4 linked regions of the Schizosaccharomyces pombe genome follow. The main gene of each other region encodes a partner of the protein of the gene in region 2 in a complex. Each region holds a gene or a part of one and is shown on either strand. Other genes may lie near its edges. The genes, in order: mrpl27, mrpl16, mrx14 and mrpl40.

Region 1 (5,097 bases), on a different chromosome or scaffold from region 2:
CTGTTGCCAAAGTCTCGATTTACAAAAACGTGGTTAATACTCGAAGAGGAATATTTGCCTAAAGTGTAAATTGAGAATGTATCCGGTAATTGCTTATTTTTAATCCTTAATTTTTCTGTGGATCAATTGAAAAATATTAATTGCGATTGCCAAATCTTGTTTCAATGTCTTGGTTACTGTACTTATACTTTTATTCCAAGCAAATAAAAGTTTTATGCTATATGGAACGACTCAAAACATGCTTCTCTTGGCTAGGACTTGACGTTCAATTACTAACTGTTATAGAAAATTTACTATTTAGTACACAGTAGATAACTAACTAATTGGATATAGCACTTGAGACATAGATCTCAAAGAGATTGTATCTATTTCATAAAAGAGACCTTTGTCTCTGGTTTAATCTGTTAATGCAGTCACGTTAAGTAAAAGCATTTTTGGAATTGTAATCACAACAAATCCAAGTAACAAAATATCATTGTTTTCGTATGATCATTAGAAGGTTAAGGTTTGCAGTTTTAATATCATAAATGGCATTTAACAATGACTACGATTGTAAATCCAAAGCTTCAGCTAACAGCTGACTTTTAGAATTGTATAATCGTGCAACATCGTCTTTAACTCGAACGATTACCCAGTCTCCAGCAGGCACAGGCTTTTTGTAGTTTATGCTATAACTGGGAGTACGCACATCGAAGTTTTCAGTAGGAATAGGGTCCCGAGGCTGTGTTGATTGTGAATTTGCTTGCGATGATCTAAGATTCCGAACAGTCTCAAGAGACTCGATCAATAAAGTTGCAATGGCGCCCCCATGAGCCAGTTTCTGATATCCTGTCAAAGCCTTACCCATGAGTCCAATGCTGATCCATTCTTCATGTTCGGGGTCATAAAATGTTTTAAATACAGGTATCAATCCATCTTTAAAGGAAAGAAAATTGGAAGGATACTTAGATTGAAGCAAGGACGGATGCTCCTCCATTTTCATGCTGCGTTGACGTTCGCGATAAATGTTATCAATCATTTGAACAGCTTCAGGCGATTTCGAAATTTCAGAAATATGTTTCGCACTTGCTGGTAGTCGATGATATGCTGTATAGGCATCACTGGAAACAACCCAAGAAGCTAGACCGCCTACCATAAATCCCCCAATCCCTGCTAATAACAGCTTATTTTGAAATAATTTAGAGCTCATAATCAAAAATTGAACAAAGTTTCAAACTTTTCGTCACAATGTAATAGGAGCGTTTACTATTAGCGATATTCGGACGTTATAAAACTGATACGCAGATGGAGCATATGTGCAAAGCATAGGGTATCATTAATTTATGCAAGAATATTTATCGTATATTTTAAGAAAATATAATTACTTACATATCCAAAAAGTATTCTATAATAATAACTAATACAGGAATAAACAAATTTCGTAATGCAATTGAAGCAAAGCATTTGGAGAGAAAATGATGATTGTGAATAATTCAATGACATAAATTGTAATAGTACAACATTAATTAATTTATTTCTTTTAAGATTGAATGTAAGAATCGATGCTCTGCCCTACTGTAGGAAATTAATCACTTCGATTACATTCAGCAAAATTCAACTTTGAAAAAAAAAGCAATATCAGAGAATAATCCAGGTACCTAGAAAAACTTTCATCGCCATTGCTGCAGTTTTCTAGTTGGTTTATGAAGAAGCATATACAATAAAAGATCGGAGAACTTTCACCTTTTTTAAAGCATCTGTTTTCAAAAAAGAAAGAAACTTTTATTTTCCCTTTTAATACGACTTCGGTCCAAATTACAGAAGTTGCGAAAACGAAAGTCAAAATTTTTGTAATAAAGATGCATACAGAGGGTATTCTGTATTTTTTGAAACAAAACTCTAATAAATATTAGAGAAAAAGCAGCCGTGGATTTTAGGAAAACTCCATTTCAACGCCTTCAACAGATATCATTTTCAACTCCCATTCACGCATAAAATTAACTTTGATTTCTTCCAGATGAGTAATAAGGGACTTAGCAGCATCAACAATAACCTGCTTTGGAGAACAATCTTCTACGGTTTGTACACGAAGTATGAAATTGTGATTTAATGGATGAGGAACTTTGTAACCAGCAAAAAGAACCCTTTCGTCAGATAGGAGTTGACTTCGAAAAAGCAGTTAGAAAAGAAAAAAAAATTTAGAAGTCTTACTTTGCAAGCATATTAGCCAATGTATGATCCTCTTTTTCAAGAGTAACTACTGCGGCATTAGGTGATTTGCTATCGAGCTCATATGTGACTCTACACTGGTTAATGCAATTCCTTGTAAAATTGTTTATTCCTTACTTGGGGAGTCCCATAAGCTCAATGAGCTCATACCGTTCTGGCTGATTCATTATGCCAACGTTTTCAGCCGACTAGCTGAAGAAGAAGTAAGATGTTGATGCTTACGAGGGTTTTGTCCACGTTCTGTACATTAAGCATCACTATAAATCGTAATGCCATTTAACAAAAGCTTTAACACTTTATTCCACAACTCATCGTATTTCGTTATAAATAACGCGAACGTGAACGGACACTTAATATATATTTATCTGTTGGAAATCGGCTCAAACGAGTAATGAAATGGGAGATGTAACAGTATTTTTTAATAACTGATTTTAATAACTAAAATTTTTAAAGGCATATTTTGAGGCGTTTAATTGTAGATTAACCGTACTTGTTTTCATTGAACTGTGCAGAAAGATAAACAACAAGAAAGCTCATTTAAATGTTGAAAAAAAAATAGTTTTTCGTACTTATTTCATTTTTTAGTTTCATAATGTAATTCGTTTGTTCGTTTTAAACAAATATTTTTATTGTTTACATTCTATGTTTCGCTTTGACTGTTACCTTATACCGTTACCTTTTCTTTTATGACGGAAAACGCGCCAACTTAAACCCTCCATTTACCCAAATCGAGAGTTATTCAAAATGCATCAATCATTATTATGTTTTGGAGCAAGACGCTTGCCAATGACCACAAAGTTGGGTCATCAGTATTACAAGGGTACAAGAACTGGGAAAATGGGTCAAAAAACCAGGCATGGAGGTTTTCTTGTCCAGTGGTCGCGTGTTCGCACGTTTGTGCCTCCTTCTGGTGATTGTGAGGTATGTTGTAAATTAATGAATATTGTTTTATATTAACTTTCAAAGCTTTTGCCTTTTGTTTCTCGTCGAATTCAAGCCACTAAAGGAACTTATCCTGAAGGTGCAAATGGGTTGGATGGAGCTGTGTATTTTGATCTTGCTCATAGCTAGTATGTTTATCAGCCTCATTCTTTATTGTTTTGAAAAATTTTGGTACCCTTTTCAACTGTTGCTTTATTCTATCTGTTAATGATTGGGCATACACTTTGAAAGGAGAAATTTCTACGTTACGATACCTTATGTTGCGTTGACTGTTGTTATTTATTGTTTACGGACACGTATATTTATCGATATTCTGTTGTGACGTTTGCTTCTATTAAATATACTAGTTACATTCTTACTTTTTCTGCCAAAATTGGGGGCAATCTTGAGTACTGCGCATTTATATATTTATTATAGGATTAGTCTTTTTCATCCCATCTATCTTAGAAAAAAAAGGGCTGCTAATACCTAGCAATGCGGTTTAAGCATGGATTTTCTATATCTTGGATATCAGGTATAAAAATGTCGAAAACTTCATGTTTCTTGAAGAAATACAGACTAATATTACTTTGGTGTATCCTTGGCATTGCCTACATTTTATTCTGGACTCATCGGATTAGCAAAGCGTTTGCTTCAGTATCCTCGACTTCGGACTCAACCGTCCATCTTTTTGAGCGCGGAAATACCTTAAATGATAGCAACGACCAAATTTTACTTACATGCAATGATATCAAAAACATTACCCCTGCTAATCAATGTCGGTTTGCAAAGGCTTACTGTAAGGGAGAGGCTAGTGGGTTCTTTGATTACGTTGAATTTTATTTTTGTACCATTAACAGTCTCCGATTCCCAGTGTTATCAATAATTGTGGGATGGCTGATTTTCCTTTTCATAACTATCGGAATTTCTGCTAGTGATTTTTTTAGTACCAATTTGGTTACTATTTCGTGGCTACTTCAATTGCCCGATTCTGTGGTTGGCGTTACTTTTCTTGCTTTAGGCAATGGATCTCCTGATATTCTTAGTACGTTCGCTGCTGTACGTGTCAACAGTGGGGGAATGGCTATTGGGGAACTTTTGGGCTCTGCATTCTTCATCGTAGCCATAGTTGCTGGCAGCGTATGTTTAATAAAGCCATTTAAAATACCTCGGCGTCACTTCCTTCGGGATGTTGCTTTCCTTACCGGTACTATTTTACTTGTTATAATGTTTGTTTTGCATGATGGTTCGTTGAGTATTTGGCAGAGTCTCGTAATGATACTTTATTATCTACTCTACGTTCTTTTCGTCTTTTTCTCTGGTAGCTCTGGTGTTAGCGTGGTAATCACTGATGAGAATTATTTGCCTGTCTCCCTTCCAGTCTACTCACCGGTTTTAAATTCTTTCGATGACTCGGATTCCTATAGTAGCACGGATTCTGAATTATCCGAAGAGGCATTTCTCTTGCCTGCCCAAGCATCTAGAAAGACCCAAAAAATACATTACATTAACGATAATGACCCTTCAAATTCGTATTCCTCATATCAACATTCCCATGTCCATGATTTTATTCACAAAAACAACACTCATTCTAACCGTGTGCTAAGTCAGTCATCGGGCCCCATTGTGCGTCCTTCGTTGCTTGCTGCTCTCGACTTTAGATCTTCGAATGAGGAACAACATCCGGGATTACGCTCACTTGATCCATTGAATATTCAAGACGGTGATCTTACTATGCATCCTATGCATATTCGCCATTCTCAAAGCGATTTTTATCCCAGTGGAATTAACACCCCTGTGAGTGGAATTAATTATCCCAATTTGGGATTTAGCGCCAATAATAGCGTGCAATCCCTTGTTTCTGAAATCTTTCGTCACCCAACTCACACTGACGAAGACTTTCCATTACCCTCGCCATCACTTAGTTCTTTGCTTTTCCCTACTTTGCGAAATTTTGCCAAAAAATCA
Region 2 (6,324 bases):
GAATAGCTTTAGCATGGATACCAGCCTTATGGGTAAAAGCACACATTCCGGTAATGTAATTGTTGAAAGGAATTTGAACTTCAACGGCATCAGCGACAAGGTTTTCAAGCTCACGTAACTGGTTAAGCTTGTATTTGTGGGTAATGTATTCCCTATCGGTGACATACATACGAGCCAACAAGGCACCAAGAGGAGTAATACCATTACGCTCACCAATACCAAGAATGGAAGTATCGATATGGGTAGCACCAGCTTCCAATGCGCAATAGGCATTAGCAATAGCCATACCAGTGTCATTGTGAAAATGACATTCAATATCACAAGAGACAACACCACGTAAGGTACGAATAAGATCGTAGACTTGGCGAGGAGTAGCGCAACCAACGGTGTCAGCAATACCAACACGGTTGACGCCAATCTTGTCTACAGCCTTGTAGAGAGAAAGGAGATCGACAAGATCAGAACGGAAAGAATCCTCAGATGAAAAGCGGACTTCAATACCCTTGCTCTTGACAAAGTTGATAACTTCGGTAGCGCTGTCAATAATGTAAGTCATGTCCTTTCCATGGGAATATTTGCGAAGATATTGAGAAGTTCCGATAACAACATCAACACCATCAACTCCAGTCTCAACAGCGACACGAGCGTCATCCATATGACAGCGAATATGAGTTAAAATTTTACACTTTAAGCCCAATTTGCAAATAGCTTCGCAATCTTGGCGGGACTGCTCAGAAGCCACGGGAGAAGTCAATTCAATGTAATCGACACCAAAGTTGTCCAATGCCTTAGCAATTTGAATTTTCTTCTCGGTGTCGAAAAAAGCGTTTGCGAATTGCTCACCTTCACGAAGAGTAGACTCAATAATGGAAAAGTTATTGACACGTGAAAGAAAATCAGATGGGTTGGGACCATAAGGGTTTCCATTCATAGGAGGCTTGATGGTCTCAGTACCATTAGCTTCGGACACAGACATGTTGATGACTTTAAAATGCAAAAAAAGGAAAAGGAAAAGCGAATTTTCTAAAATGAATTAAGTATAAATATATAAATTATACAATTCAACAACTTATTGTCCCGAAACCTGTTAGCTTTGAATTTTTTAAGCTAAATCTTTTATCACTGTAGAGGAGACAACTAAGAGCAAGGATGCACGTATGTATGAATTTCAAAAAATTCGACCCTACCCTATTTATTTACTGAAAGAAACAGTCACTACCAACTCGTAGGCAACCGCGGTAATTTATGGTAGAAAATTGATTTACAGATCCCGATCGATCTTGATGAGATTTAATCAGATCTATGGTAGTAATGATTAAGTTACTGATCCACTCAACAGTGGATTGCTAAGCTAGGTTCTAGAAGGTATAGTGATTTTTTTTGTAAACGTTGTAAATATTTTAGTGGAGTTGATTTGAATAATTTCATTCGTAATTCCATAGTAAAATCAGTTTCATATTATTTAAAGTGTACTTTTTGATTCACTTCATGATTTCGCACATATACAACGTGCCGTTTTTTACATCCCGAAAAAAAGTCCCCAACGGAGCAGAGAGCAGCAAATAAGATTTTCGCCAAAAACACTCATTACCGTTACCAACTTTTCAGGACCAAAGAAATTTGATGTTTTAACGAAATTGCCGAGCCGTAATCAAAGTGAATCAAAAGTGGTTCATATTTCGCCAACAAAAATTAAGCAACTCTCTCATTGGGGATGAAAGTTCCCATTTCGAAAATAGATAATGAAACATAGCGCAAAATGTACAATGTTTTAAGGCATTTCTGGCAAATTTCATTCACTAAAACATAGAATAACTACAACGATTGAAAAGAAGCTCATGAATGTCTGTACAAAGATGCAGCATTAAGTTCACAAACTAAGTAAGTGAGAAGTATGACAGAAAAGTAATTATTGAATGGGTTAAAAATAGATAAATTCAGCTTAACTTTTCCCTTAAACAGCTGTAGTAGTACTGGTAATTTCCTGATAGTTCATTTTGCTTGTCTCGGTGGTAATGGGGGTTTCATGAATCAGTGTGGTACCCAATCTTTTGGGGGTTTGCTTGACGATAATCTCATACTTGCCTGGAAGGTGAAAAGCGGCTTGCTTCAATGCATGCTCAGCTAACTCTTTACGCATTCCATCACCACCAATTTCAAAAAGTACACGACCGATTGGTATCCGTGCAGCCCAGTATTCAAAAGCTCCTTTGCCTTTGCCCATACGAGTTTCATTTCCTTTTACGCATACTGGCACATTGCAACAAAAACGTGTGTATACCCGAGCAGCCTTGATAGGTTTTAATATACGCTTGAGAATCTGTTCGGCAGTTTCGAGTTGCTTGGCATGAAATCTTATACTTCGATCTTTTAATCGCATACCATATTCTCCCCATTCAAGTTGAGTACCACGTAGTGAACCTCCTATGGGTATAGGGACTCTTCCTTTCTGAGCTTTTTGGTTTCTGATGCTTCTGGGTGCATACTGGTGTCCCCAACGAACCATCGTTTGGATAGGCGGCATTTGTAAACCATTCAACCTCGTAGGTCCTAAAATACCAGAAAAAAAGAAAGGAAATTTATTGTATTGTTGTAAAGCCATATTATATAAGTTTTTATGTTGTGAGGGTTTCAAAAAGTCATAAAACAACGTGTTTTTATTATCATGCAAAAGTCGTTCTTTAAAGTTACTCAGAAATATTCAAAATAATCAAATTTAAGTATTATATTTCTTTTTTTATGGGAAAATGGTAACAATAGTAACGATAATAGGCCTGCTATTTTTTGTATGAGAAGGGGGTTAAAGGATACTTGGATTCTGTATGTGTTGCTGCCACTTATCCTAACTAAGTTCCGGGAAGAAGCCGGACAATAACTGAACATTAGCTATAATTATTTATTTGTTTGTTTATTAGTTTGTAAAAAAAAAAAAAAAAATTATCTTAAGCATTAGGCAAAAAAGATTATTTTCATAGATACTGAATTTAACGTGCGTTTTATGCTCAACACATTATTTGATTCAGCATCATCATTTCAATGACAACAATGCGTGAATAGAAATAAAACAGTGACTATTTTAGCTATTTCAAATAATATACTTAGCTCATTTCTTGTCAAGGAATTCTTGTCCTTGAAGAATAACAAAACGTTCAACTGTTTAGTGCCTCAGTATTGGTATTTGGAATGTTAAGACTGTCTTAAAAAAATCTTCTGATGTACGTTTATAAACCATTAGAAGGATCCTCTATCGAGCTAAACATTATTGTATGGACAATCGAACGTAAGAATGCCAAGCGCAACTCTTTTGTCCCCTGTAGCAAGAACTTGCTCACATCATGATTATAAAAAAAACAAAAAATGGGATTAGGAAATTATGAAGGATCTGCTAAAATCTTGCGCATTGATCTACGTATCGCGGGAAAAGAAGAATTGTTCTGCAAAGCGTGAATAGCCTGATATTCCCAGTTTTCTAACGTCTTTTGAGCAGCTTCCTTCTTTAATGAATTTGTATATGATTGGGATAAAGACGCTGTTCTCGTAGAAAACGTCGACGAAGAACTAGTTGTTGACATACTTTAATAAATATTCCGAATGGACACAACCTTGAAGACTTGCCAATTCGAATTTCTCTGATTTTACTGATTCTTGCTGTAAAAAGTCTTAAAAAATTCCAATAAGCTATAACACGCTTGATTGTTCAAGCAAAGGATTTGAGTTATTTGTAGAAATAGAAATGTGCTTACTCGCCATAGTTATGAACATCGCCATGTTAGTCTAGGTCTCGAAGAGAAATCGTTATTTCATGTTACGTATAACATCAAAGTTCGTTATTGATTATTTCTTATATCATTACATCATATACCTTTGTAATGCTTAACTGTAAAGTAAGCTTATTTACAGTACGAAGCAGTTAGCAAAAGAGAAGTACATTTTTATAAAATCAATCATGCGTAAATGGATTAAATTCGGGTTTCACAGTAATAATTTATCATTTTTTGAAGCTCTAACCCCTACGGTTCAACTATTTACAATCTAATCTCGACCTTAAAAAAACAAATATGCCTCAATAAAAAAAAAAAATTTCTTACATTTAGCCGGTTTTTATTTTTAAAGATAAATAGTATCAATATTAAAAGCACTTGATTGCGAGACATGAATTACAAAATGTATAATATTCAATTTCATTAGCTCGTATAGCGATTTTGCGTTTAAGAAACTTCGAAAAGGTTTTTTTAAAAAAATTAAAATAAAAACAAAGAAAAATCAAATAAGCTCATCAGTTGCAATCGGGTATTAAAAATAGAGCAACAAGTTAAAATGAAGGAATAAAAGCAAATTACTCATTAGGTAAGGGATCCAAACTCAACAAAAAGAAAATTAAAACTACTAAAATACAAACCAAAAACAAAAAAGTCAAATATGCACAACGAATACAGACATTAGGTGCTTCTCAAACGAGAAAGATTCACGTTACCACCCCTTGCCTCAAGGAGCTTCTGATAATTTAATAGACTAATCGTGATTGCAGGATTTCCATCGGGTTGTTGAGCTTCATAGTTTAGCAAAAGCTCGATCGCCTTCATAGCGTCTTTAGTGGTAATCTGGAATTCAGTAGATTCTTCTTCGTCCGTCTCGAAAGCGCGATCATCCATGTACTGCGAAGCAATTTGATTGATTATATCCTCAGAGGAATCAACAATATTCTCTTCTGAAGGACTTATAAAATCCTCTATACGCATAGCAGCTTGAACAGAAAACTCTGAGACGAGCTCACGAAGTGGATGAATCATTTCATCCAAGGCACGCGAGGTAACGGCAGATTCATTGAATAGACCAAGAACACCGGAAAGATTGAAGGCATTTTCAATAATTTCTGGTGATATGTCTGTCGTCCATGCTTTCACCAACCATAAAATAGCTCTTAAAACATTAGTAGTATTATAGGGATTGCGTCCCAACTCATTTTGTTCCAATATATATTGAACCCAGTGTTTGCGATAGCATGCTTTTAGAGCATAGATCACACCCTCACTACAAGGCTGGGAAATAGAGGCTGAAGTAGATGGTAAAGTAATTACAGTTGTATTTCTGAGGTCATTACCAGAGTTTCGAATGTTTTCAACAGCACGCAAATGTGGAGTATAGCTATCAATAAGAAGTATGACTTTGCGACCTTCCATACACGCATCAAACCAACGTAGCCATTCCTCCATTATAGCTGTGGTCATGGATGCCTTACCATTACTTCTCCATTTGAAATTCATTACTTCGGGTTTTACATTAGCAGCCCGAAACACTCTGGGAGATTGTGAGTATCCAATAACCCATAAAGGCAAACGTTCGGTTCCCGAAGCATTACAACACACGGTTAGTGTAATACGAGCTTTGAATCGAGTAATACCTTTTATATCTTCGACTTCGGGAGTGCCATTTGGAACCAATTTCCAAAAAAGACCGGTCTCTTGCATTGTGAAGATATCATTAATATTCGTTAATCGCGTGACATCGTAAACACGAGAGAGAGGATCATTAGGTGGTTCCGTATTATTCAAAACCACAGACTCGGTGGGTTGTTCATTAATTGCATGAAGTATATGGCGCTTCCTGAAACCTTCCAACCATCCATTGCTAAAGTTCGGAACCGGTTGATCTTGATACTCGGGAATTTTGTGCCAAAGAATAGCGGCGGCTCTCTTAATTGTTTCACCGGAAAGTGTAGCATCGTCACCCTGTTGAACTTGCCATTCAAATAAAGCGGCCTCTAAAAGAGGGTATTTCGGTGGTCTGTTACGTTTCACGTCCCATGGTTTTTCTACAGTATTGTCCAGATACGAGTATTTGGAGGATAAGATCTGAGAGACGGAAGGCTGTGAAATATCTTTGCCAAACTTTTCACGGAACCATTCGATAAGATCTTGTTGACCGGAACGGTTTTGAAGTTGAAAAAAGTAGTGCCTAAGAGCGCGTTTTTCATGTTCTGTAATGGCTCTTCTTTTGATTTTTCCCATTACTCGATAGCTTTATTATTTCTAATGTCTTGAAGTGAAAATATAAGGATAGCAGAGCAAAGGTTTCTTGCCTTAATAAAACGACACTAACAGTCACGAGTTCGTAATATTATACTGAACAGCGTAACGTAATATCTAAGCTTAATATCTGTTAAGCGATGAAACAAACAGCGGTAAACAGTATAGTGAGTTTCATCTTCAAAAATCAACATATGGTCGTACCAGGTTTGGCTTTCCTAATTCATCTGGGCCAATTTTTTGCAGTGGTATAAAAAAATGAATTATTCCTGGTGCTATTTCATGGTTTCCAAATAAA
Region 3 (6,286 bases), 300 kb from region 2:
TATTCATACTCAACTTTTACACATCCTGTAGGGACATCTCAAAATTTTGAGCCAAGAACTTAATAATTTGTTCTAAATTAGCACTTCCAATTTATACTTTTATCAAGAATGGGTTAGGTGAAATATTCTCAGTCAACTGTTACTCATCAATGAAACTTGGCGAATGAACCATCGTCGATCAAAGGCTTTTTATTAAATCAATCAAAGAGTCTCTATAGATAAACTCTATGCTAGTCTCTGAGTTAACGGCAATTGAAGTAATGATGGTAAAGCTTTTTAATTCAGTACAAACAATTCCATTTTAATTTCAATTTATACTTTATTTTATCAACTGCTAGCGATTTTACAATTATCTCTCTTTGGCAGCAGAATACTACCATGAACTGATTATTTAACTTATTTGAATATTACCGATTATAGGTGTATAAGGAAAAAAAATGTGATTCCTATAATCAGTCATTTTTTATATTTTAATAATCTTCCCTTCAATTAGAACTTTGAAATTTTGATAAATTACATTTTATTGGTAATAATGAATAAAAAAATGTTTCTTCACGTACTAGATGATCATATCCAGTTTATCATACTGTAAGTTCAATTCTATAGAATCCAAATAGGAACTGAGCATTAATTAGTCAATATTTTATTTATAAAATGAAAGAATTGATTATTATTACAGTCTTCATTTTGGCTAACAATTATTATTTTTCTTTCTCCCAGTCACAAGTAGACAGCGTCATTCGACGTTGACACCAATAGACACTAGTGACACGTAAATTTGAGCAATATTTTTGAACTGGTGCATTCTTTATTTTCAAGATATTAAAGGTTGACAGGGTTTCCTAAATTCTTTGAAACACCTCTTTTAGTAGCTGCTATACACATTTATTGAACAATTCCTATTTTCTTTATCAGGTTTGCCAGTGTTTTCAATCGAAAATACCCATTGTAATTAGTTTATTTATTTTTTTGATTCTTGATAAGGAAATGCTCTTCTGAAAGTCAATAATTGGTGAACATGATTAGTTTTTCTCACTGGAATTCTCACATACGTTCGGGACTTAGTCTAAGCATGATTCCTTCTGCAAACTCTCGTTTTGCTTTCATTATTCAAAGAAATTATATTCCTGTCGTTAACTCGCAGAACACAAGATGGAAAAGGTTATGCGGGACACAGTCAGTTTGGTCACCATACAAAAAAAAGCACGTACTGGTTAATCGATTGAAGCATATATCTTTATTCCCCAAACCTATATTTGCAAGAAAGTTTACAACCCGACAAAAAAGTGAAGACCAGAAGCAATGGAGGATACTAAGGATTACATTTCTTGTCCTCCCTTTTACGGTCGGAGGATTATGGATTTTATACAGAGTCAAAAATCGAAAGAATAATATTTTCTCCTTTGACGAACTTGAATTAGAAGAGAGAAGCAATCGACCTCGTTCTATTTTTGGAAAAATAAAACAATTTTTTAATATTCTCCTCAGGTCATTTAATTTATTTATTATTTTCTCTCCAATTATTATTACCTTACCGTTTATCGCTCTTATTTCTTTCCTGCATCTTCGATCTTTGTCGTCTTTAACCGTATCCATTTGGCTTCGTTTCCTCGTTACTCAATTAGAAAGAGCAGGAGCAACGTTTATCAAGGTACGTTTTGAATTTACGCTTATCATGTTACTAACATTATTTTTTTATTTTGCAGTTGGGACAATGGGCTGCTTCACGGACAGATTTGTTTCCTCCTGCTTTCTGTAAAACACTGTCCAAATTACATTCACATGTAACGCCCCACAGCCTTGCCTATACTCAATCAGTCATCTGCAAGACTTATAAAGTGGAATCTATCGAGGAAATTTTTGTTAATTTTAACCCAATACCTATAGGTGTTGGAGCAATTGCTCAAGTCTATACGGCTACCATCAAGAAAGCAGCTACGCAGCAAGATAATTCCTACTTTACAAGTATGCTACAATCTATAGGGTTTCGACAGAAAAATATCTCTGATGCGCCAGTGACTCAAGATGTAGCCATTAAAGTTTTGCACCCGAATGTTGAAAAATACATTTCTTTAGACTTACAAATCTTAGGTTTCTTCGCAAAATTAATTAATTTGGTACCTTCAATGAAGTGGCTTTCTCTGCCCGACGAAGTTAAGGTATTTGGGGCAATGTTAAACCAGCAATTGAATTTACATTATGAGGCGCTTCATCTCAACCAGTTCCGTCTTAACTTTAGAGGAAATAGATATGTTGAATTTCCAGCTCCCTATGATGATTACACGACTAATCAAATCCTACTAGAAGACTATATGCCGGGTATCCCATTAAGCGCGTTCCTCAAACATAAGTCAGGACCATTTAACAAGTTGTTAGCTAACACAGGAAATAATGCATTATTTCAAATGCTTATTGTTGACAACTTTACACATGCTGATCTTCATCCGGGTAATGTCCTTGTTAAATTTTACAAAGGAATCCCTAAAACAATCTTTAATCAAGATAATGAGATTAATGACTCAATTTATAAAATTCTAAGTACATGTTCGACGGAGGAATGGGATTCTGCTATGGAAGAATTAAACATCTTGGGCTATCGACCGACTTTAGTATTTTTGGATGCTGGATTAGTAACGAAACTTAGTACGCAGGATCAGAAAAATTTTTTGGATCTGTTTCAAGCCGTACTTACTTTCCATGGCTATGAGGCTGGACTGTTGATGGTTGAAAGGAGCAGGCAGACAGAACGCGTTATAAACAAAGACATATTTGCTCTTAAAATGGAACATTTGTTGAATGAAATTCAAAAGAGCACGCTTTCACTGAAATCACTTCAAATAGGAACTATATTACAAGAAGTAATGACTATGGCGAGAGAGCATCATGTTCGAATTGAAGCAAATTTCGCAAATACTGTGCTATCTATCCTTTTAGTTGAAGGCGCTGGACGCCAACTATATCCAGAAATGGATCTATTAAGTAATGCTACACCATATCTTCGTTCTGCTTCATCGAAATCCAATGTCTCACTCACAAACCCAATGGTTCAATTATGGATAGCTTTAGAAGCTAGACAATTTTTGCTTTTAAGCACCTCTAAAGAAACGGTAGAAAAGTGGGTTAAGTCCGATATGATCGCACCCAATATATAAAAAAATTACGGTTTATTTTATAAATGATGGAAAATTGTTCATGAAAAATATAGTCGCAGACATGGAAAATAAATTTTATAAACTCGTGTTTTAAAGAAGTTATTAAAGTTCAAAGTTCAACAAGTAAAATTAAACAAAGAACCAATGGAAAGAAAATGTATCACAAACTAGAAAGCATTACTTAAATGAAGAATTGATAGAGGTTACTAATGCAAATTAGAGCCCATTAAAAGATAATATGTACTCAATGGCTCAGATACATCCTCCCTTTTTGTCTTCGATCTCGTAAAACACGACGACCGTTAACAGAACGAATTCGAGATAAAAATCCGTGTTTTCTTTTACGCTTTCTATTTGAGGGTTGATACTCGTTTCCATACGTTTTCCAACGCACTTGCTGCATTTGACCGAAGATGTTCATAGTCGGTAAAGAACTGTATAAAGTAGCGGTATTAAAAGGGTTTCTTGTCGGAAACCCTCTCATAGTTCCTCCTCCAGCTAATATTGAAATATTCCTGGCTCCCTTCATGGCAGGATGCAACAAATTTCGAAATTGTTGCATAAACATCATAAAGCAATAGGAATGAAAGCAGGTGACTGGATTTCAAGAGAAAAAATTTCAAAAAATAATATAAAAATTATATATGAACGTAAATGTGCAAAATGAAGAGATTTGAGATGTGATGGAGTAGCTGGTTATTAGAAAGGTTGAAGTGAATCAGTGTAGCACCGTTTGACATTCGAAGTGTTAAATTTCAAATATTTGTGTTACAATAAATTAAAATCTTTGCTAAAATCCAATAACTACGTTTTAATAGTTTCATTCAATTCACTGGAATGTCGGTAATATAATAATAATACTATTATTATTAATAAATAGTTCATTAACCATTCTTTATACGCCCTTAAAGAAAGCAACCTGAACCCCTAAAATTTGATATCGCTTTTGCTTTTTCCCAACAAATAATTGGCATGAGATTACCAAATAGTAAAATCCATCAGTTTAATGAATTCGATTCATGGGCTAAAAGTGATAATTTATAGTACAAAAAAGGTTTTAGCAGTTAAATGACATCTTATACTTTCTTTTATCTATTTTATTTTATTAATAATACCCAGTATTTTAAATTGGAAGCAAATTGCTGCAGTCCCGGCTTTTTAAATATTGAAAGCATATTAAATATACTCATATATGGGAGCATCAATACATTAAATTTATCAAAAGTTATTATTTTTTTTTGTTTTTACGTGACATAATAAAATGGAGAAAAGGAGCTCTAATCTGCTATTTAAAATATTTGTTAAAAAAAAGGCATCGACGATGAGAATTTAGCGTATTGTTCTGCATTGCGATATTTCTTTAAACATAGGGGTTCACGAAAGTACAGCCTCTGCCACCGTCTTTTAGGGGACTTTATTGTCATTGTGAAAGTACAGAAAAATAAGTGTTGGATTTTCTAGGAACTAAAAAATGGATTATCAAAACCGCGCAGGTGTTCGTTTTGGAGGAGGAGGCGTTGCTGGCTATCAAGAAACAAATGCTGCACGTAGAGAGCGTCTTCGTAAATTGGCGCTAGAAACCATTGATTTATCAAAGGTATGTTTAAAAACCACTGAATTCTGAAAATTTGAGTGCTGAATGTCAATTATAATTACCGATGAATTAATCGTGTAAAGTAAGACATGTACGTATGTTACATATTATTGAAGTTTATTAGTAGTTGCTGTTAAATTCGCTAACTATAACAACTAAAATAACAACAATAATAAATGAAAAGGATTTGCTTTCTACTTCCTTGTTTGCTGTTTTGCATGTTACACTAATTGGACATCTTTTTTTTACCCTGTCAATCACCTTGAAGCTTCCTCCTCAAACTCTTTGCGATGATATTTCTATTGCTAATCTCTTATAGGATCCATATTTGATGAAAAATCATTTAGGCACTTTTGAATGTCGTCTTTGCCTCACTACACATGCGAATGAAAACTCTTACCTTACCCATACACAAGGTAAAAAACACCAGACAAATTTAGCCAGGAGACAGGCTCTCGAAAATAAAAAGTCTCAAGAGAATGCACCACAAGTGTTGTTGGGCATTTCTCAATCCCATGTCCAGGTTAAAAAAAGTGTCGTAAAAATTGGTCGACCCGGTTATAAAGTGTCCAAAATAAGAGAAGCCGAAAGCGGAAAATTTGGCCTACGTTTCCAAATAAAGTATCCAGATATTGAAGTGAACGCTAAGCCAAGATACAGAATTATGAGTGCTTATGAACAGCGTGTTGAAGCTCCTGACCGAAAGTTTCAGTATCTGGTAGTGGCTGCTGAACCATACGAATCAATAGCCTTTAAAATTGGTATGTTGGTTTTACTGATTTTTTATTTATATTAACTTTGTTGCGCAGATGCTCACGAAATAGATCGTGCACCCGGGAAATTTTGGAGTTATTGGGATGCACCTACATATACTATCCAATTCTTTTACAACTTAACAAAAATATCGTAAATTTTGAGCTGCTATCCTAAATTTCCTTTTTATGAAACAAAATGTCTTTTCCAAATATTTCGCTCAGTCTCCCAATTTATCAATACCGCAGTTCTTTATGTGTGTAAAAGAATTCGAACTCAATCATTCTGAATTGTTTCTCCACACGTGAATTGTAGAAGAACCGTGCTAGCTAAACCTATTTTGGTGATTTATATACTTATTTTCCCAGATTTGTGGAAGTACCAATTGATAAAGTTGGCTAACTTCTACTGTATGGCGTTCGATAAATTAGCAAATGTCGCTACAGTGGACGCGATTTTTGCGATATCTAGCTCAACTTTCCTTTGGTCTACATGGGTTCTACAACGGACAATATTAAAACGGCCTAATTTTTTTTCTCCAAACCCAGTTGTTGAGAAAATGGTGCATCCAACTTTGATTACTTGGAAATTGTTTTCATTTACATCAGTATTAACTGTTTCAACCTTTACCTTCGCTTCCTGTTTGATAATGCGAACAATTGGTGTTGAAAATATAAAAGAATTTGGTCTTTATGCTCGAGAAAAGCTTAGTTTTGCAAGAGCAAAGCCAGTTAAGGATGACATTACCAGCTTTCCTAATCACAAAATTAGTATCACTTAAATTGTA
Region 4 (5,774 bases), on a different chromosome or scaffold from region 2:
CACCTTAATATCGAAAAATATAGAACTAACTTTTACAAAGTTATTGACAGGGATGAACAAAAGCATGAATATACCGGCAATGGCTCGTATCACTCAGCAATTCGAGCGTGAAAATGAAATTATGGAACAGAGACAAGAAATGATTGATGAAAATATGGACGATGCTTTAGAAGAAGATGACGAAGAGGAAGCTGATGAACTTGTCAATAAAGTGTTGGATGAAATTGGAGTCGATTTGTCTCAAGGATTGCCAGATGCTGCGACCCAAATTGGTACGGTACCGGAGTTAAAGACTGAAGACAATTTACAAGCCAGATTGGATGAACTGGCAAAGCGTTAATTTTCGCACAAGAGATTAATGGACTTTAAAGATCTTGATTTGTATAGATTTTCTACATTGATTAGTAAAAGTTTTTCTAGGTTAACGTGTAAACTTCAAATACTTCACTTTCATTGAAATCACTTATCACTTACTCTACTAAGTTAAATATATTTAAGTTTCTTGAAAAATTTTTTAGAAGAGTTTACAAAAGTTTATTAAGCTTTATAACCTAGAGATTGTGAATCATTATGTAATGTTATAAAAAAATGCTTGCAACGACCAAACATCGTTTTTGTTTTAATCACTGTAAGTATTAGGAGAGATGGGTTTTTTTATTAAATCTTCAGCAGCAGTCTCTGCTCGGACAAGATCTTTAGCAATTTCAGTAAAATCATCATTGTTCTTTTTATATCCCCATATACGATCTAAACGGCGAGACCAATTGGCTCGTAAATCGCCAATTGCAAACGGAGGAAGAGGAGGCTCCGATAAGCTAGGAGACCAAGTAACTTTACTAACTACTGGATTCTTAGTATCGAGTTTACCTTCGGGATCTTTAGGCTTATCTTCAGTCTTGGGACGAGGAAGATGAATAGTATGAATTTGTACTCCTTCAATATTAGGCCGAATAATGGACCGGAGATTAGTTGAGGAATGCTTTTTAAGCTTAACTGGAATAAGAACTGGTTCCCCGGCGTCAGTCTTTGCATGCGCAAGAAGACGCACATTTGCATAATGTACTTCGTGAGCAATATCAATTACTGGATCTTGGTTATCTTCAGGCTTATTTCGCAAAAGAAAAATTGGTACTTTGACGGATCTCACATTAACCCCCTCTATGGTAATACCGTTTGTGTATTTGTTTGTCTCAACAACACGGCCCCATTTTCCTTTCAGAGGTCCTTGATGAACATATACATAATCCCCTTTAAAAATATGCCAGAAAGGGACTCTGTCAGCTGGCTTTCCAAACGGTAACTCGGGTTTAGCGGATTTATCGTCTTTAACAGTTGGATCAGATTTATTGAGGTGTTCGCGTATTTTGGTTCGCATATGCAACGGTAAAGGCTTTTTCATTTTTAAGACGTTAGTACCAGGGCCTCGGAGCCTTGGAATTAATTTACGCAAGTCTCTCATTCTGCTCAAAAAGTTTTATAATATTTAAATAACTAACGGTGGTACATCACTTGTACAGAGGAATTTACTACGCTGTAATGTTGGAACGAAAGTAAAACCTCTAGACAGGATAAATATGGCCAAATATAAGAGAAAAAATAAGAATGCTATGAAACAGTAATGTGTATCCTGCTGGTAGTTTGCAGTTGTTATTTGAGTACTCTCTTCGTCAATAAGTAAAGAAATGGATCATTGTTACACAAAGGCAACTTTGCGATACGTGGTTAAGTTTCATTATTTAAAATTTGCTTTTGCTTTTGCACGCAATATTCTACAGCTTCGACATCGTTAACCAACATTAAAATGATGTGTACTCGTTAAGACAATGTCATTCTATCTATTTGTTTATAAGTTTAAAATTGAAAATGTTAAGCGAAATCGTATAGAAACGCTTCGCAAGTGGTTGTGTTAATATACTAGGATGTAAGATTGAAGTTTTGTCGGATAACTCAAACTTAGTCGATACTTCTATTGTTTTCTACTTTTTTTTTAGTATTTGCTGAATTTAGGTAATAATTTTTAAAAGCCTAATATCATTCGTGATTTGTAAACTGGTTTAGAAAACCCGACAAATAACTTGCACTTATATTAAATATTTAACCATAAGGTTTTCCAAGATTATGTTAACATCCGAAAAATGATTGGAACCATCCTTTTGCCTTTCAGGCTCGCAAATATCAAATTTTTGTTTAATTTTCAGATAAATCTAAATACCGATATATAGTGTATGGATTGTTAACCTGTTTAACAGATTTAGGCGTTGGATTAAAACACTATAATTAGAGAAGGTGAGAATAACAAAAAATAATCCAAAAAAGTACCCATCTTGAGCAAAATGGTTATTAGTCAACCTGTTGGACAAATTCGTCTAACCAATGTGTCCGTTGTAAAATATAAGAAAGGAGGGAAAAGATTTGAAGTTGCTTGTTATAAAAATAAAGTTACAGAATGGAGAAACAAAATGTATGCATGATTTCATTAAATTAAGCTACTGTAATTAGTGAGAGTCAGCCTTTGCTACAGATAAATATTCTTTAAGATCAGCAGAAAATTATAACAAGCTATCTTTTTGAATTCACGTGTCTTGTCGACTGGTGTCAACAACTCAATAACTCGTACAATTTTTTTTGATCAAAACCATAGCTAACCAAGTTTAGTGAAACAGATCTGGATGAAGTTTTACAAATCCACAATGTGTTTAACAATGTTTCTAAAGGACATGTAGCTAGCCGACAGGATTTGAAAAAGGCTTTTGGTACAGATGATATAGATAAAATTATTTTAGAAATTTTGCAAAAAGGAGATTTTCAAGTAGGTGAAAAGGAAAGACATCATCAAATGTCTTCAACTTATCGCGATATTGTCTCCCATGTTACTGCGATGTGCATGGATCCTAATTCTAAACGACCTTATCCAGCATCTATAATTGAAAAAGCATTATCTGATTGTGGCTTTTCTGTCTCTACCAGTAAAACTGCAAAGTCCCAAGCTCTGGAAGCTATTAAGAAATTGCAAGAAAAAAACGAAATTCCTATCGTCCGTGCGCGTATGCGCATCAGAATAGTGGTGGATGTCAAACAGGGAAAAGCTTTACGAGAGCGTTTACGCTCTTTAGCTGATGAAATTGAAGAAGAAAACATTGATGATGAATATGAGTGCATAGCTCTCGTGATTCCAGGGAATTATAAGTTGATAGATGAACTTGTCCGAAATGAGACCAAAAACCGAGGTATGGTTCAAGTACTCGACATGAGCGAGGCTAGGACTTAAAAAGGTATACAAATAACCTTTCTGAAAATACGCTCTATATGAATTCCCTAATCTGTTTTCCTCCTCCTTTTTGCTTACATTGTTCATTGGCTTTTGGTTTTGAAAAATTTTGCTATTAAAAGACACGTTCTGATTCGTTCTGGTTATCCAGAACATTATTTAATTTATCAATATAGCAATTCAGTTCAGAAGAAAGTAAAAAGAAAGTAAAGAAATGAAATTAAAAGACTATCGTCCCTTTCATTTCTGCTAGTTCCATTCAAAGCACGCATTCAAATGTGAAAATGAAAGTAGCGTGAGTGATTTGTAGAATGTTGAACCCTTACCACAATGCTTTCAGTTGTTCAACAATTTAATGATGAGGATATCTATAGTGTACGATTTCGGATTGTAATATCACCTATTTACAAACAGTAATTGTAACTAAAGTATACATTTTGCTTAACAGCAGTGTGATATAATACTGCGTTAATACTTTTAAGCAAATTTGACGAAATTCGTAGCATGTTCTTCAGATTCGGTATTTTGCGACATGGAATTGGATTGTGCAATAAGTTTTTGAGACTTCAAACCCATCGTATACTTTTTTTTAACTCTCTTTTATTTGTACTTAAGTTGCTCATTCTTATCTCAATTTTTTTTAGTTGCAATTTTTTGTAAGGATTTAAATTATTTCATTCTTAAATTTTAAATTTTGAGAGATTATACGCAACTTATTAAAATGGGGAAGATTAAAAACAAAATTGTCCGCCAACAGCAGTATATGAAGGCTCTTCATCAAAAAAATAAGGACAAGCTTGAAAGAAGAAAAGAACGTGCTAAAGAAGAAGAAAAAGACCCGGAAAAGAAGAGATTGCGACTTTCAGAAAATATTCCCGCTACTATTGAATCGAAACGAGTTTATGATGAAACTATCATAGAGGATAAACCCGATGAGGAACTTCAGGCGGAGTTAAAAGATGATGAGTTTTCTGCATACTTTAGTGAAGAAAGGAAAGTTCCGAAACTTTTGGTAACCACGAGTAAACGAGCCTCTAGAAAATGCTATGATTTTGCATCTGAGCTTTTAGATTGTTTTCCTAATGCTGAATTTCGAAAAAGAACCGGAGATATTGAAGTTCATGAAATCGCAGAAGCCGCTGCTAAGCGTGGTTACACCGATTTACTGGTATTAAATGAGGATCGTAAAAAAACAAATGCATTAACCCTTGTACACTTACCGAATGGCCCTTCGTTCTATTTTACCTTATCGAATCTCCAAACAGCAAAGGAAATTTCAAATCATGGCCGCTCCACTGGTCATATTCCAGAACTGATAATCAACAATTTCTCAACGAGACTTGGTATGACTGTTGCTCGAGCCTTTCAATCATTATTTATTCAAACGCCTCAAATTCAAGGGCGACAAGTTGTTACCATCCATTGTCAAAGAGATTTTCTTTTTTTTCGAAGACACCGTTATGCATTTCGTGAAAAATCGAATATGCCAGATGGTATTGGAACTGGGCTACAAGAATTAGGTCCTCGATTTACCATGCGTCTTCGTATGGTTCAAAAAGGAGTATGGGATAGGAAAGAAGGGGAGGTTTTCTTCGAGAGCAATGCCGGTGAAGAATCAGATAGACGTAAATTCTGGCTTTAAAGACATTTTGTCTCATCTGCGACACGTTGTAAAAAGAAAACAGTGTTTGGGTCATATTTTATTGTTTTCGAGGTAGGGTTTGGGTTTGGTAACAATTCTAAATTTTTGGTTAAAAAAGAAAGCATGGCCTTTCATTTTGTATCATTCGTTTACGGTGAAATTGGGAATGAATAATATGATACATGTAGACTAGAAACTAGGAGACATAATTCTTTAATTCAATTATTGGTTTATTTAAAAATCCTAATTAGATTATACTTGCTCGTAATTAGTGATACATTTTTTTATATACTTGAACTTGTCTATAACACTTTCGAGCACTACCGAAGATATTAATTATACTCATAAAAGGCGCTCGCCTATTTAGAAAGCCGTGGTGGTGTGTCCGTAGGAGTCCTCGTTTCTACGGGGAACCTCCTGTTAATTGAATCGCTCATTGCGGCTTTATATAATGTTTCACTCGTATGCTTCAGTTCCTCGCAAGCAATTTTCATTGCAGAGAATTGGTTTTTTAGAAGATTCTCTCTTTGTTTTTCTTGTCGATATTCGTGTATACGCCAAGCGCGATTAATAACTTCGTGTTTTTCCCACATGTCTGGATTCATTTTCAAAGACCTGACTTTTTTATTTCCGTAAAGAGCTTTTCTAACCAAATCGATTGACTCACTATGATTAGAAGGACCAGATTGGTGCTTTCCCTTTGAGGCCTTAGCCATTAATTGTAACGTAGAACGCATCTGCCAAAAAACTTTTCAACACAAACTAAAGTACTCCTTGAATTTTTTCACGTTGATAGAAAAAAATTTAATTTTCAAAAGTATTAACATAAAACCTTCCTTTAAAAGCTAAAAAACCTGAGTAGAG

The links.
Region 1: mrpl16 (region 2) and mrpl27 share a complex: the UniProt entries of both Schizosaccharomyces pombe proteins name them as parts of the mitochondrial large ribosomal subunit.
Region 3: mrpl16 (region 2) and mrx14 share a complex: the UniProt entries of both Schizosaccharomyces pombe proteins name them as parts of the mitochondrial large ribosomal subunit.
Region 4: mrpl16 (region 2) and mrpl40 share a complex: the UniProt entries of both Schizosaccharomyces pombe proteins name them as parts of the mitochondrial large ribosomal subunit.

The regions. Positions count from the first base shown.
Region 1 is NC_003424.3:1,431,231-1,436,327, reverse strand, and holds mrpl27 (mitochondrial ribosomal protein subunit L27), read left to right. Parts: upstream 1-2,929; 5' UTR 2,930-2,952; coding exon 2,953-3,129; exon of another isoform or gene 3,130-3,174; coding exon 3,175-3,279; 3' UTR 3,280-3,555; downstream 3,556-5,097. Other genes in the region: SPOM_SPAC3A12.08 (uncharacterized protein), read right to left, coding at 545-1,189; DNA-directed RNA polymerase II complex subunit Rpb11, read right to left, coding at 1,913-2,144, 2,191-2,280, 2,326-2,375; SPOM_SPAC3A12.06C (sodium/calcium exchanger), read left to right, coding at 3,673-5,097. UniProt on the Schizosaccharomyces pombe protein: Component of the mitochondrial ribosome (mitoribosome), a dedicated translation machinery responsible for the synthesis of mitochondrial genome-encoded proteins, including at least some of the essential transmembrane subunits of the mitochondrial respiratory chain.
Region 2 is NC_003423.3:3,506,332-3,512,655, forward strand, and holds mrpl16 (mitochondrial 54S ribosomal protein uL16m), read right to left. Parts: upstream 2,803-6,324; 5' UTR 2,603-2,802; coding exon 1,955-2,602; 3' UTR 1,192-1,954; downstream 1-1,191. Other genes in the region: lys4 (homocitrate synthase), read right to left, coding at 1-976; protein tam12, read right to left, coding at 3,372-3,572; ARS-binding protein Cbp1, read right to left, coding at 4,440-6,008. UniProt on the Schizosaccharomyces pombe protein: Component of the mitochondrial ribosome (mitoribosome), a dedicated translation machinery responsible for the synthesis of mitochondrial genome-encoded proteins, including at least some of the essential transmembrane subunits of the mitochondrial respiratory chain.
Region 3 is NC_003423.3:3,801,179-3,807,464, forward strand, and holds mrx14 (mitochondrial 54S ribosomal protein bL34m), read right to left. Parts: upstream 3,851-6,286; 5' UTR 3,724-3,850; coding exon 3,397-3,723; 3' UTR 3,153-3,396; downstream 1-3,152. Other genes in the region: cqd1 (ABC1 kinase family protein ), read left to right, coding at 1,019-1,651, 1,707-3,152; U2 snRNP-associated protein Sap62, read left to right, coding at 4,624-4,749, 5,066-5,507, 5,571-5,656; SPOM_SPBC21C3.06 (uncharacterized protein), read left to right, coding at 5,912-6,280. UniProt on the Schizosaccharomyces pombe protein: Component of the mitochondrial ribosome (mitoribosome), a dedicated translation machinery responsible for the synthesis of mitochondrial genome-encoded proteins, including at least some of the essential transmembrane subunits of the mitochondrial respiratory chain.
Region 4 is NC_003424.3:2,669,665-2,675,438, reverse strand, and holds mrpl40 (mitochondrial 54S ribosomal protein uL24m), read right to left. Parts: upstream 1,647-5,774; 5' UTR 1,460-1,646; coding exon 620-1,459; 3' UTR 501-619; downstream 1-500. Other genes in the region: ESCRT III complex subunit Did4, read left to right, coding at 41-340; SBDS family ribosome maturation protein Sdo1, read left to right, coding at 2,334-2,461, 2,656-3,268; Brix domain-containing protein Rpf1, read left to right, coding at 3,990-4,910; mrpl28 (mitochondrial 54S ribosomal protein mL40), read right to left, coding at 5,270-5,626. UniProt on the Schizosaccharomyces pombe protein: Component of the mitochondrial ribosome (mitoribosome), a dedicated translation machinery responsible for the synthesis of mitochondrial genome-encoded proteins, including at least some of the essential transmembrane subunits of the mitochondrial respiratory chain.